Linked DNA regions of Coturnix japonica. The protein of the gene in region 3 interacts with the protein of the main gene of each other region in a pairwise test. Links are inferred from orthologs where the notes say so. Each region holds a gene or a part of one and is shown on either strand. Other genes may lie near its edges. The genes, in order: WASL, PAK2 and RHOJ.

The links.
Region 1: the proteins of RHOJ (region 3) and WASL interact in binary tests that used the Homo sapiens proteins (3 or more experiments, as listed by UniProt). The two-hybrid records come from large-scale screens. The link is inferred for Coturnix japonica from reciprocal best matches to the Homo sapiens genes RHOJ and WASL.
Region 2: the proteins of RHOJ (region 3) and PAK2 interact in binary tests that used the Homo sapiens proteins (3 or more experiments, as listed by UniProt). The two-hybrid records come from large-scale screens. The link is inferred for Coturnix japonica from reciprocal best matches to the Homo sapiens genes RHOJ and PAK2.

The regions. Positions count from the first base shown.
Region 1 is NC_029516.1:20,092,373-20,096,471, forward strand, and holds the start of WASL (neural Wiskott-Aldrich syndrome protein), read right to left. Parts: upstream 2,810-4,099; 5' UTR 2,446-2,809; coding exon 2,329-2,445; intron 1-2,328. UniProt on the Homo sapiens protein: Regulates actin polymerization by stimulating the actin-nucleating activity of the Arp2/3 complex. Involved in various processes, such as mitosis and cytokinesis, via its role in the regulation of actin polymerization.
Region 2 is NC_029524.1:3,542,730-3,546,375, forward strand, and holds part of PAK2 (serine/threonine-protein kinase PAK 2), read right to left. Parts: intron 3,100-3,646; coding exon 2,999-3,099; intron 2,488-2,998; coding exon 2,337-2,487; intron 1,461-2,336; coding exon 1,429-1,460; intron 1,154-1,428; coding exon 1,046-1,153; intron 206-1,045; coding exon 73-205; intron 1-72. UniProt on the Homo sapiens protein: Serine/threonine protein kinase that plays a role in a variety of different signaling pathways including cytoskeleton regulation, cell motility, cell cycle progression, apoptosis or proliferation.
Region 3 is NC_029520.1:48,610,099-48,614,484, reverse strand, and holds the start of RHOJ (rho-related GTP-binding protein RhoJ), read left to right. Parts: upstream 1-1,547; 5' UTR 1,548-1,967; intron 1,968-2,127; 5' UTR 2,128-2,165; coding exon 2,166-2,343; intron 2,344-4,386.

The DNA.
Region 1 (4,099 bases), on a different chromosome or scaffold from region 3:
GCAATATTGTTCCTCCCCTACCATTTATTAAGTTTTGCTCATGAATAATTCAGGCATGGATATTAAGAGATCAAATAACACGTGTATTACAGCAAGATGGCACTCATCAGCACAGCATGCTAACACTGAGTTACAGTCAAGTCAGAAGGTCGATAGTGCCAGGAGTGCCATTAGACTCTGATCCGACATTCTGGATTCAAACCCGATAGCAGAGACCATCCCCCGTGCCCATTTCACTGTTCTGATAGAGGCTGCCATCCCTGTGACAGAGAGACTAGATTTGCTCATGAATCAGTTTCCCTACTGCCACCTTTTTGGCTCAGCCCAACAAGTCTGGTTTATCTCTTTGAAAGGGCTGACAATAGCAGGACACGGGGAAATGGTTTTAAGTTAAAGAGGGAAGATTTAGGTTGGATGTTAGGGGGAAGTTCTTCACTAGGAGAGTGGTTAGGCCCTGGAACAGGCTGCCCAGGGAGGTTGTGGATGCCCCGTCCTTGGAGGTGTTCAAGGTCAGGTTGGACGGGGCCCTGGGCAACCTGATCTAGTAAAGGTGTATGTTTGGTGGCCCTGCCAGGCAGGGGGGTTGGAACTACATGATCCTTGAGGTCCCTTCCAACCCGGGTCATTCTGTGATTCTGTGATCTCTGGAGCTTCTGGACTCGAGCCCTCAAGGATACAGCAGAGACCAACTACAACATGAGCCTATGCTTAACCTGGAGACTACATGGGACAAGGGACAAAAGGGAAGTGGCTGGGACAATCAGGAAAGCTTTAACTGGAATGTCATCCAAAATTCAGTGGAAGCCTTAAGGATGCATAAATTCAAGTAAAACATGAAGAGAGTCACATCTACAAAGCTATCAACACGCCACAGATCACATCACCCAGGTACTATGCTGATATAAGTCTGCCTTAAGTGCTATTTATGCAGAAAGTTGAGAACTTGAGTAGGTGAGTGTTAAAGCTGAGCATAACGCATTCCATTGACAAGAAATTCTGAGTTGTAGAAAAACAAACTCACACAAATTCATGTGCTTTTGTAATTTAGAGTTTTACTATTTTATTATTATTACTATTCTGCAAAGGAATTTAACACATGAAATGTGTGCCTGAAAAACAGCTTGATTACAGATTTCTTACAGATTTATTGCTTTCCAAAACAAAGCCCCTCTTGATGTGTTTCACGATCACATCTTCTGACCCATTCCAGTGTAATTACTACGACAACATCCTATTTAACTCACCCAACGTCAGCATCGCCTACTTCCTGCTCAGCTACTGCATCTCCTACAGGAGTCAGTTCGATCAACAACACCATTTCAAAGTCCAGAGTTATGCAGAAGCATTGCGGCCGTGCTGATATCCTGCTCTGAGACACGAGCTCATGCTCATGACGTACCTGTCACTGCATGACAGCAGGACATCAGGGTGCCTGTATTAGTAACCCAGCACTGCACACAAAGCATCAGAAGACATTCAGGTCACAGTTCTGAATGGCTTCAAGTGGCCATTTGAAAAACAGAAAGTAAAAGAGGAGCATTTATTCAAAAAATACAGAAAGTTTAAGATGAGCTGTACTTCTCCTAAAACTTGCAGCTAACTTTTAAAGGCTTCAAGCAGTTTCTGTCGCTGTTTTATAAACGCAGATGAGTACAACTCTACATTAAAATGCAAGAGGGTATTCCAAAAATGCAGAACTCAGTGACATACTTGGGAACGCATTCACCAGAAGGTTTTTCTGCTTAGATTGCTGTGTTGCCTTATGACTATTGATTTATTTTGAGCCTAGAGCTGGAGGCGCAGCACCTGAGCACACGGACTAAGTACGGGGCAGGGCAGGCCCGGTGCGGACACGGGCCTTCCACCGCTTTGTCGTGCCGCAGGTGCACCCGGGGCCGTGTAGAGCCCCCATGCCGCCCCAACAAGCTTCCCCTCGGTGTGAGGGGTGAGCGGAGCTCGGCTCCTCGCAACACCCGCAGCCCCGGCCCAGGCGGCTCGGAGCCCCCATCGCGCGCCCTGCGGAGAGGTGAGGCCGGCCCGAGGGTTCGAGCGAACGGTCCCGCCGCCATTCATTGCGTCCCCTACGCTCCGGGCAGAGGCCGGGCCCTGCCGCCAAGCCCCCAACCGGGCAGAGAGCCAGGCCGGGCCGGACAAAGTTCCGTGCGAGAGCCGCGTACGGGGCAGGGACGGAACGGGGCAGGGAGGGAGGAGAGCAGCGCCCGGCCGCAACCCTCCGCCGTCCTCACGCGGCCCCGGCCCTCCGCGCGCGGGGTGGGAAGGGCCGGGGCCGGGCAGCGCCGCCGCCCCTCGGCTCGACACGGCACTCACCACGCATTTCTTGCCGAGGAAGCTGAAGAGGCTCTCGTTCTCCTGCGGGGTGAGCAGCAGCGAGCCGACGTTGGTGACCCGCCGCGGCTGCGGGGCCTGCTGCGGGGCGCCGCTCATGGCCGGGCCGGCACGGCGCTGCCCTGCGACCGTTGGAGCCCGCGGCCCCCTACTCCTCCTCCTCCTCCTCCTCCTCCGCGGCGGCCTCACTCACAGCAGCCGCATCGCGGAGCCTCCCTCTCGAGGCCGGGGAAGGAGGGAGGCGGAGGGGTAGGGGGGCCCGGAAAGCGGCCCGCGGAGGGGGGCACCGAGCAGGAGGCAGCTCCGCGCCGCAGCCGATGGCTCCCGCCCCTCCGAGCGGCACTAAACTTCCAACTTCGGCCCGGCTCCGGCGGCCGCACAATCCAACATGGCAGCGGGGGCGGGCGAGACCACAGAGCGCGGCAGCCAGAGGGGAGGCCGTGAGAGAGAGAGAGAGCGAGAGAGCGCCGCCGCCGCGACCATGCGCCGTGCGGGACAACGCCGCCTTCCGATCCGGCCCCTCCTCGCCCCGCCAGCTGCCGGGGAGCGCCGCCCGCACTGCCCTGCCCGCAATACCAGCCTGCAATACCTGCCCGCAATACCTGCCCGCAATACCTGCACGGCCGGCCGGGCGGCTGCTGCGGGGCGGGGAGTGCGACGGGAGGAGGAGGGAGAAGGAGCGAGGAATGAGATAGGGGCACCGTGGGATGCAGTGCTCATGAGGCCGCGGGGGCAGCCGGCCGGGCCCTTCGCTGATTGAAAAGCTCTCGGGTCTGAAAGCACTAACGGGGCCTCCGTGCATTCACTTGAGAAAGGAGGTCTCTGCTAGGAGCTGTCAGCAAACGGCAGTAATGTTAGGTGAAGTTCCACAGTACAGTGGCGACTCGGGGCAGCCCGGCTTCATGCAGTGCAGCACCTCGAGAGCTGAGCTCCTGACCAGTTTAGAGTGAAGCATGGTTTAATTTGTAACTCAAAAACCTTTGTGACCTTTTGTCATTGGAAGGAGAATGTCTCCTTGTGCCTCACCATGCAAATAATCAATTGCATTACCGCATGCTGTGTTACGTTGGGGGTTAATGATGCGTTCTTGCTGTACAGAAGCAATTCCCTCTCTTTGCACAGTCAAACGGGGGGCGGAGTGGGTGTCAGCCATCGCCCTCCGTGCAGCTGGAGGTTAAACACTGCGAGCAGCGCTGGGAACTGTGAGCTCCCAGGGGGAAGATGCTGGGAAGAAATGCCGTGTGCAGGCAGTGCCTGTTGGCAGCAGAGCTATTGCCCTGCTTCACCCCACACATCAGTATCGAATGCTGAAGGCATTCGAAGCTCAAAGACACTGAGCTCAGCTGCTGTGTGCCCAGCCTGGCTTTGACTGTATGGAAGTAGTGCTCACACTTCTTGAGGACAAAGGTGAACGCCAATGGGATTCTGGTGTGTGTTAGAAAGTGTGGCCAGCAGGCTGAAGGAGGTGATCCTCCCTCTCTGCCCTGATGAGGCCAATGGAGTGTGGTGTCCAGTTCTGGACTCCTCAGTTCAAGAATGACAGGGAACTTCTAGAGAGAGAAGATGATGAGGAGCTTGGAGCGTCTCCCATGTGATGGAAGGCTGAAAGATCAGGGACTTTTCAGCCCAGAGAAGAGAAGACTGAGAGGGGATGTCATCACTGCTTATAAATATCTGAAGTGTGGGAGTCAAATGGATGGGGTTTTTTTTCAGCCTTGTGTAGAAACTGGACAAGTGGCAATGGGCACAAAGA
Region 2 (3,646 bases), on a different chromosome or scaffold from region 3:
ATGGAAAGAGCTTAATAACCACTGTCCCATCAGCCCTAAAGTCTTTGCTCTTCTGAAATGAAAAACACCTACGTAGTTTTTCCATGATCTCTTCATCTGACATTTTGGTCTTCTTTTTCTGCTTATCACTTGACTTTGTCCCACCATCAACAGAAGCGTCACCAGCTGGTGCAGGGATGGGGTCAATTACAGATCGTGTATAAATCTGTTTTTAAGAGAGAACATTCACTCATTTAAATTGTGCATCTCATTTACAATCACAGACCTTCAGTAGAAAACACATTTTTTAAGATCTTTAAGTGCCACTTTACCTAACAGCTTGGAGCCAGAAATTAGGCATTACATTCCAGTAAGACAAGATGCTGACAAGCCTAACTGGCCTCTGAAAGAAAGAAGGAAACTCTTTCTGCCCAGAATGGATGCTTGGGGATAAACTGCCACAGATAGACATTTCTAGGTTTTCTACTTGCTATCCATGCTAGATAAATAGTTGAAAGGGCCCTTCCTTTTACTTCACTGCTGCAATTTTCACCTTTAACAGAATAGGAATCAATATTGCACAGAGAGGACAACTACCCCTAAAAAGACAAAAAAAAAAAAAGATTTGTGCTTCAGCATGAAAAGCATCATTCTCAGATGAATTTCTCAGTTGTCACCAGTCCCAGGGATTTTCTTAGAGCTTTATTCTGTTTCCTTCTGAGCTGTTCAATAGCCACGCATTTGAAAAATAACACAAGTTCACAGCTGCAAACAACTACTGCAGCATTACCAAACTGCAGCCTTTTCTCATCGTTGAAGATTAGAAATGAAGCTTCAGTCTATGTGAAGCAGAATCAGTATCAATTGATGAGTAGAGATAACTCACATTGCTGTGCTCCTGGAGTGAAAATAAGCAGACACAGCAGAGCAACTGTATGTACATCCACCATGGTCAAATGAATCAGGGAATCCTGAGACTTAGCAAGATGGGTGGTTCAAGATAATCCAAAGAAAACAAAAGCTCTGTGAAATGAAGCTTAACACCATAAACTTTATAGCTGCTCACCGATTTTGTGTGATCTGGCCGCGGAGCAATAATAGGAGGAGGTGCTTCTTCATCGTCGTCATCATCATCTGCCACAGCTGTTGATGGCTCTGAACCTTTGGCATTGGTCTACGTTTTTTTCCCAAAGTTTAAAAAAACACAAATATAAACACAAAAAATTGTTTCCCCCGCAGTGTTAAATATTTGTATTTTGTTTGGGTTTCTTTTTTTTTTTTTGTTCTCCTATAAAATATAAGGCTATTCTTACTCATGTAAAAGAAAAGCATAGGCTGATTGGTAAAAGTAACCTATTATAATTTATTTAAGATTTGGTATTTAGCAAATACAGGAGACCTGAAATAATATGTGGTTAAGAAGAGACAAAGTAAAGTAAACTCACTCACCGTTGGTGTTCCTGAAGGGAATCCATCTTTTTCTAAATAGGAAAGAATGAAAAAGACAAAATCCTCAGAAAAAAAATAATTATAATGGAAAGTAAACAGCACAAAGAACAAGGATTGTTCACAGATTCCTTCATCTCTCAGAAATCAGACAGTAACAAATGAAAGAAACCAGTGCTGCACCCTATCTCCATGCAGAAGGAAGTTTCTAAAGTAGACAGCACTATTTGTTTCCCCACTTGCTCTTTACCTCACCTGCACAGTTTTCTAGACTCAGTACTGCTCATCACACTCACGCCACCCTTGTTTTACTGAGATGTGAATTAATGATTAAATTGATACATGTGTTCCATGAGCTGTATTTTGAGACAAGGATGAGGACATTACAAAGCTTTATTACTAAGCTATTTTCAGACTGCGAGTCATTTGGAAGGGAACTGCATTAAAGGAACTGTGTGCATTTGTAGGACAGTCGCTCTCCTAGCCCCATCACGTGGCTCCTGTCCTAGAGCAATGACTTATTTTGCATCTTTGGTGTCATCATGTGGGTAATAGAAACAGGTAAGTTCACAGATAACAAGCATCTAGACACACAGTTCAATCACAAACCAGAGGAGCAAGTTCTCCACTATGAAACCAGCTGATCAGTCACATATCCCCAGCTTTTTAATGGGCTGTGCTTATTTTTGGCTGTTATTTTGAATTATCCAGTTCCATTTCTTTCTCTTTCCACTTAAAGTGGGAAATTTACTGGACCAAGACAGTTTCCAGTAAGTTTTAAATCCATCTTCAAATGTTTGTTTCTTATTGAAAAATAGGATGCTCTTTCAGCTTTTCAATCTCATTTTCAGTTCACAAAGAGGAACAGCCAATTCCCCTTTCAGTATGCTCTGTGCACGCGTGCATCTCACCTGGAGCAGAAAAGCTCAGATATTTCTGTTTTGCTGTGTCTTTGGAGTCGTAGAACTTCAGCACATCTAGTACCGCCTGAGGGTTTTTCTTCTGTTCTAACTTGGTGATATTTGAGGTCTGTAGCAACCGAGCCCATTGCTCTGGCATTCCCTGAAATGAAAAGCCATTTAAAAAACAGAACAATCTTCTTTCCTCCAAGCAAAGCATAACATGTACGGCCTTAAGCACACCAAAATGTGTGATAGAGACTTATAAAGGTGATGAAACAGAGTCACAGCTGAAACAGCCCCAGATGCCTCAGCATCCCAAGCACTCAGGGGCTCCAGCCCACAGTGCCTTTCAGTCATATTCAGTCTGTCAGGATGAATGGGAACACAGAAGCACTCAACAGCACCAGGATTACAAACTATTGAAAGTGAACTGAAAAGGGAGGTTTCCCTCCTTGCAGCATTTCCTAAGGAAGGCTCTCCCAGGTAACAAAGCACTGGATGTGATCCTGACATTGCAGAAACACCAACAGGTCAGTCTCATTATTTTGTGTGCTTTATAAATACACAGCGTAATTATTTCTTCGATGAGAACAAAGAGATTAACTCTTCCTTCTAAAATACCACTATGTTCTCTGTAGCACTGACCCACAGCTGCCTTCCCAGCGACTTACAGTGAACTCTCCAGTGACAGCATCAAAGCCAACGTGGATAGTATGCTCAAAGTCTGACGGCGGGGAGATTTCTGGTCGTTCCTTTTCCTTCTTCTTGCTTCCTGAAAATACAAGGAGAGATCTATTGAGTAATGATTTAAAGTCCCACTGTCACCATTTCATGTAAGAAATCCAAGTAAAAGGATTGAGACAAATGCAACTGTTACTCTTTTTGCTGGATGGCAGAGTTTACACACACAGTACAGGACTTTGATATCTTCAAGCAGAGACTTCACGTAACAACCACCAACTCCTTTCACTCCAATCACTGTGCTGTGGCAGGATTATGAGCCCCAGAGCACAAGGAGCTCTGGAACACGTGAAACATTCACAAAGGAAAAAAACACCATTTTCACATGGATTTAAAACAGCGCTGAAGGAAACTGAAATCTCAAGTTCACCCTAAAGACAGTTAAAAACCTGGTTGTCTCACTGCTTCAATTCAAGGTAATTAATGCAAACTATACCTTCCTCAGTGAAGATAAAAACTGATGGCCTCAGACCAATTAATGACAAGAAAGCAAATCTAAGAAACACCACAAGCAGATAATGAGAGGGACCATATACACAATCCAACCCACAGAGAATTACATTCAGATATTTTACAAT
Region 3 (4,386 bases):
GGAATTTCTTGCCTCCTCAAGCAACTTTGCAACAGTATTTACATGCTCATGGATCTAGCAAACTTACCCAATAAGGCTGGTGGGTTGGTAGAAAAGGCCATGTGATACTTAAATGGGTACAAGCCTGGAGTCTGCCCCAGCTACGATTAGAAGCTAAAAGAATGACAGCCTTTAATTCCTAATACCCCCTGAGAGTGCCTGGACTCTGTGTGCCCAGGACTCACAGGTTTTATTGGGTAAATTTCTGATGTTGACTGTAGTTTTGAAGTTAAAAGGATGGCACCTGAACTCCTAACTGGAGGAAAGCTTGCAGTGATGACCTGAGACAGTGGGTGCAATGCTGGGTCTAAAGCTCAGATCCCTGTTGTCAACAGAGGATGGAAAAGCTTATGACCATGGGACACATTGCATAGATTAGTGAATGACTGATACACACCTGATAACAGAAGGATAACTGAGAAAAAAGACAAATATTGTTCACCTTATTCACCGTTTTCATCCATCGACCACCTCTAGGGAAGGTGCTGAGAGCCTGTTCCATCGTACGGCTGGGTCCTTACAGAGCTCTGGCAGCACTGCAGATGTGGTGCTAAGGAGATTCATTACTAAAGTTACACTGGTTTTTACACTTCCAGGTGTGCATGGCCCAGAGGCTGTGTGAGCTTTTGAGCATTTCACGTGCAAGGCAGGAAGAGAGGAGCCTTTAGCACTGATGAGCTTCCCCTAAAAACCCAGTGGGTGTTGTTTCCCACTTTCAAAGCCTTTTAAGCTTATGGAAGGGAAATGTAGCCAGCAGGATGTGCTGAGCTACTGGGCTGGGGTTTATGTTGATGTCTGGCTCGTTTCTGCAGGAAAATGCAAAATCTTTCTTGTGGAAGGAACAGGGAGTTTGGCCCTTCATCTTGCCCATGTATAGACTGCTATATATTTAAACTGAGAGAAGCCAGGAGGCACATGAGAGACCAGAACAAAACTTAGATGAGGGGGCAGGGATCATGAAGTTCAAAGCTGTTTTTCCACATACCACTATGGGAATTTTGTATATACATACATATAAACACACTCTTATTTTTATTTTTTTTTTTTCTCCTCTCTGTGCTTATGCAGTAGGGGTAAATAAAATGACTTGGTTTTTTTTTTTTGAGTGGATGAGGGGGAAAACCAGGTGTACATTCTGAGTGTCTGACTAACCAGTAATTAGTTATTGCAAACCAAGTTTTGTTGTTGTTGTTGTTTTAAGAGCTATAAGAACAGAGCAAATTCACATTAAACTCTCCTTACTTGTTCCCACATCCCCTCCTGTCTCCCACGTGTAAGAAAACACCGATATGGGATCAGTGGGGATTATGCCCAGGACACTGCTGGGGTAGCACATGGCTCCCAGAATTACCATGCCCCCCATGGTCCCAATGCCTCTCTGAAATCCTCCCCATCCAAATCAGTGCCAGCAGCCCTGAGTGCAGCCCGGGCACGGGATGGAGCAGGAAGCCTAAAAACTTCAGTCTGCAGAGAGACCTCTAGTGTTATTCTTTCTCCACGTCCTGGCAGAGTTCCTCCAAAGTACAAATACACACAGAGCTCCCATTGTTTGCAGCCCTTCACAAGCCCACTGATCCTAATATGGAATTCAGCAGGAAACCCATGATTTCCTGACACACAGCAAGCTGGAGAAAGAAAGGAAAAACTCCATTAAAAACCTCCAGGCTCTCCTCCATGTTAGAAATGAGATGGAAAATGGAGTGGATTTAACAGGAATCCCCGATTCCTGCGGCCAGGCGGGAGGAAGGCAGACACGAATCCAAGCCGCAGGCTGCTGATACTTTTTAAGTTGCAATAAGTACGGAGAACTGTGGGGCAGGATGAGGATTTCCTGACTCGGACGGACAAGAAAGGACAGATTGCTTTTTCACGATACTCCTCTCCATGAATTTAATCTATTCACCTCAATGATTCTCTGGACTGCTCTGGTAATTGTTAGAAGCAGCTGTGACAGCCTGGAAACATTAGTATGATTTCCTGAGCTTGAGTTCTACCCCCCCCTCCTCTCCCTCCCCTTCCCCAACTACTCCAAACTCAGGAAAAGTCCATACAATCGCACTTCATTTCTCCTTCATGTGCACTTGGAAGCCTCGGGAGCAGCAGGAGCAGCGGCAACAGACGCAAGGATGAGCTGCAAGGCAGAAGGTGACAACTGCACGGATGGAAGCAGCAACAGCACCAAGAAGATGTTAAAATGCGTGGTGGTTGGGGACGGGGCCGTGGGGAAAACCTGTTTGCTGATGAGCTACGCCAATGATGCCTTCCCCGAGGAGTATGTGCCCACCGTGTTTGATCACTATGCAGGTAAGCATGAGCTTTAAAAATACTTAATCGAGAGTCAGGTGGGAGGTGAAAGAGGATCAAGGATTGGAGAGGGTGGTTTGAAGGCAATGCACGGGTTACTGCTCTTGAAGGAGTGTGATTCAGACCTGGATGGTGGCCAGAGGGCTTAGATGGCAGTTCATACACTTGGGGCAACGTGGGATTTACTCAGAGAACTTGCTTGCTTCTGATTTTTAGTAAATAAGCAACGTTAGAGACACACTGGATTTTCAGGAAAACAAACAGAATTCAGCCAGTCAGATTATACTCAGCTGCTTTGTTTGTTGTTGTATTTTTTATAAAACTCCTGAAGTCCTGAACTTTGAAGGCTGAAAGCGGTGACAATTATATTTATGCATGTATACATTAAAAGCATAGAATCATTAAGGTTGGAAAAGATCTCTAAGCTCATCTATTCCAATCATGCACCTACTACCAATATTGCTCACTAAACCATGCCCCAAGGTACTACATATACACCATCTGCCATGAAGCAAAAAGGGTATAAGTTATAATATTTATATCCTATTTAGGGAGTGATCTCTAAGAACAGCAGCACATCTCTGAGTGCTGTCAAAATGTAATTCTCCTTTCAGAGCCATTTGTTGCTCTGTCTATAAATAGAATTTAATGCTATGACTTGGAGGTGGGGGAAGCAGAAGGGGTGATTTGTTTGAGTGCTTTATAGGGAAGGAGTTTTTCTTTTTTTTGTTAATTAAATGAAAATACAGATCTAACAAAGATCATAGATGACGTTCACTACATCATTGTGCAAAACAGACCAAGTACCACATTCACAGGCCTCTGTCCTTAGCAATTACTTTACCCAGCTGTGTCCAAAGTTACCACCCAGATGGTGTGACAGCCTAAAATCGTTGCTCAAACTACTGCTTAAAATTCCCTATCCCAGATCCTGCTGTTTTTCTTATCTCCCTGCTCCTTTGGCTTATAGTTGTTGTTTTTAAGATCTCCTCCAAGAACGGATTTTAGCACTGTGAAACTTGTGGCTTTTTGTGCAGCAGCTGCTGGAGTTTCCTTCATTCTCTCTCCACCTCCTTAAAAACTGAATTTTCATGGCGTGGCTTATCATAGATTTGGTGTTCTGTAATGGGAAAATCTCTGTTTTCATTCTGGCTCCGTGTCAGGTTTAGCAGATGAACTGGCCAAACAAGAAAGCTGTGTAATTGCAGGATCTGATCCGTGGAAATGTGAAGACCTTTTTCTCCACAAGAGTGGGCAGTGTCACTTCTAATGCGAGCAATGCTCTCTTTTCTCTATTACTCCCTCCAGACAAATCAAAGAAACGTTCTAGAAAAAGCCTTTACCCTGAGGTGATATAAGGAAGAACACTTCACGGTGTAAATGAGCACTTCCACAAGGGAAAAGCCGCCGGCAAGACTGCATAGATTTATGTCCCACATTGTGATAACACCCACATACTTTCCCATGATAAACAGAGATCTGTTTGTCCCCTAAAGCTTTGCCATACAGCAGTTCACCACTCCCAGCACCCTCTGCAGTCTGCCAAGACCTGTAAATACCTCTGCATATGGAGAAACCCATATGACAGCTGGTCCCAGCCGATGACCTGTAAGTTAGGTGGCTTTGATATGAGCATGGGGGCTGTGTGCACATCCAAGTGTTGATGCCAGCCTGGGTGGGAGCGCCAGGCATGTCCCTATTTGGTAACTTGCCAGAACATACCTTGATTTTGTCTATTCTCTGTTAGAAATGGTAGGAATTGCCAAAGGGCTCAGAAATTGCTGAGAAAAGGACAGGCAGGTGGAGAGTGTCACTGCATAATTCTCCTTTCCTTTGGGTAACAGGTAAAGCATTCGGCTTTTAAATCAAGCTACATTTTCAGGCTTTGAAGATTTAGACCTCTAAAAGCTCTCCAGCTGCTCTTATTTGCCTTCTAAGCTGTGATAGCAAATAAACACAAGCTAAAAATGTTCTTGATAGCAAAGTTCAGAAAGATAAGAGAAAAAATAGCTCTGTGTATTAACATGCTATTCTGAGGCAAAC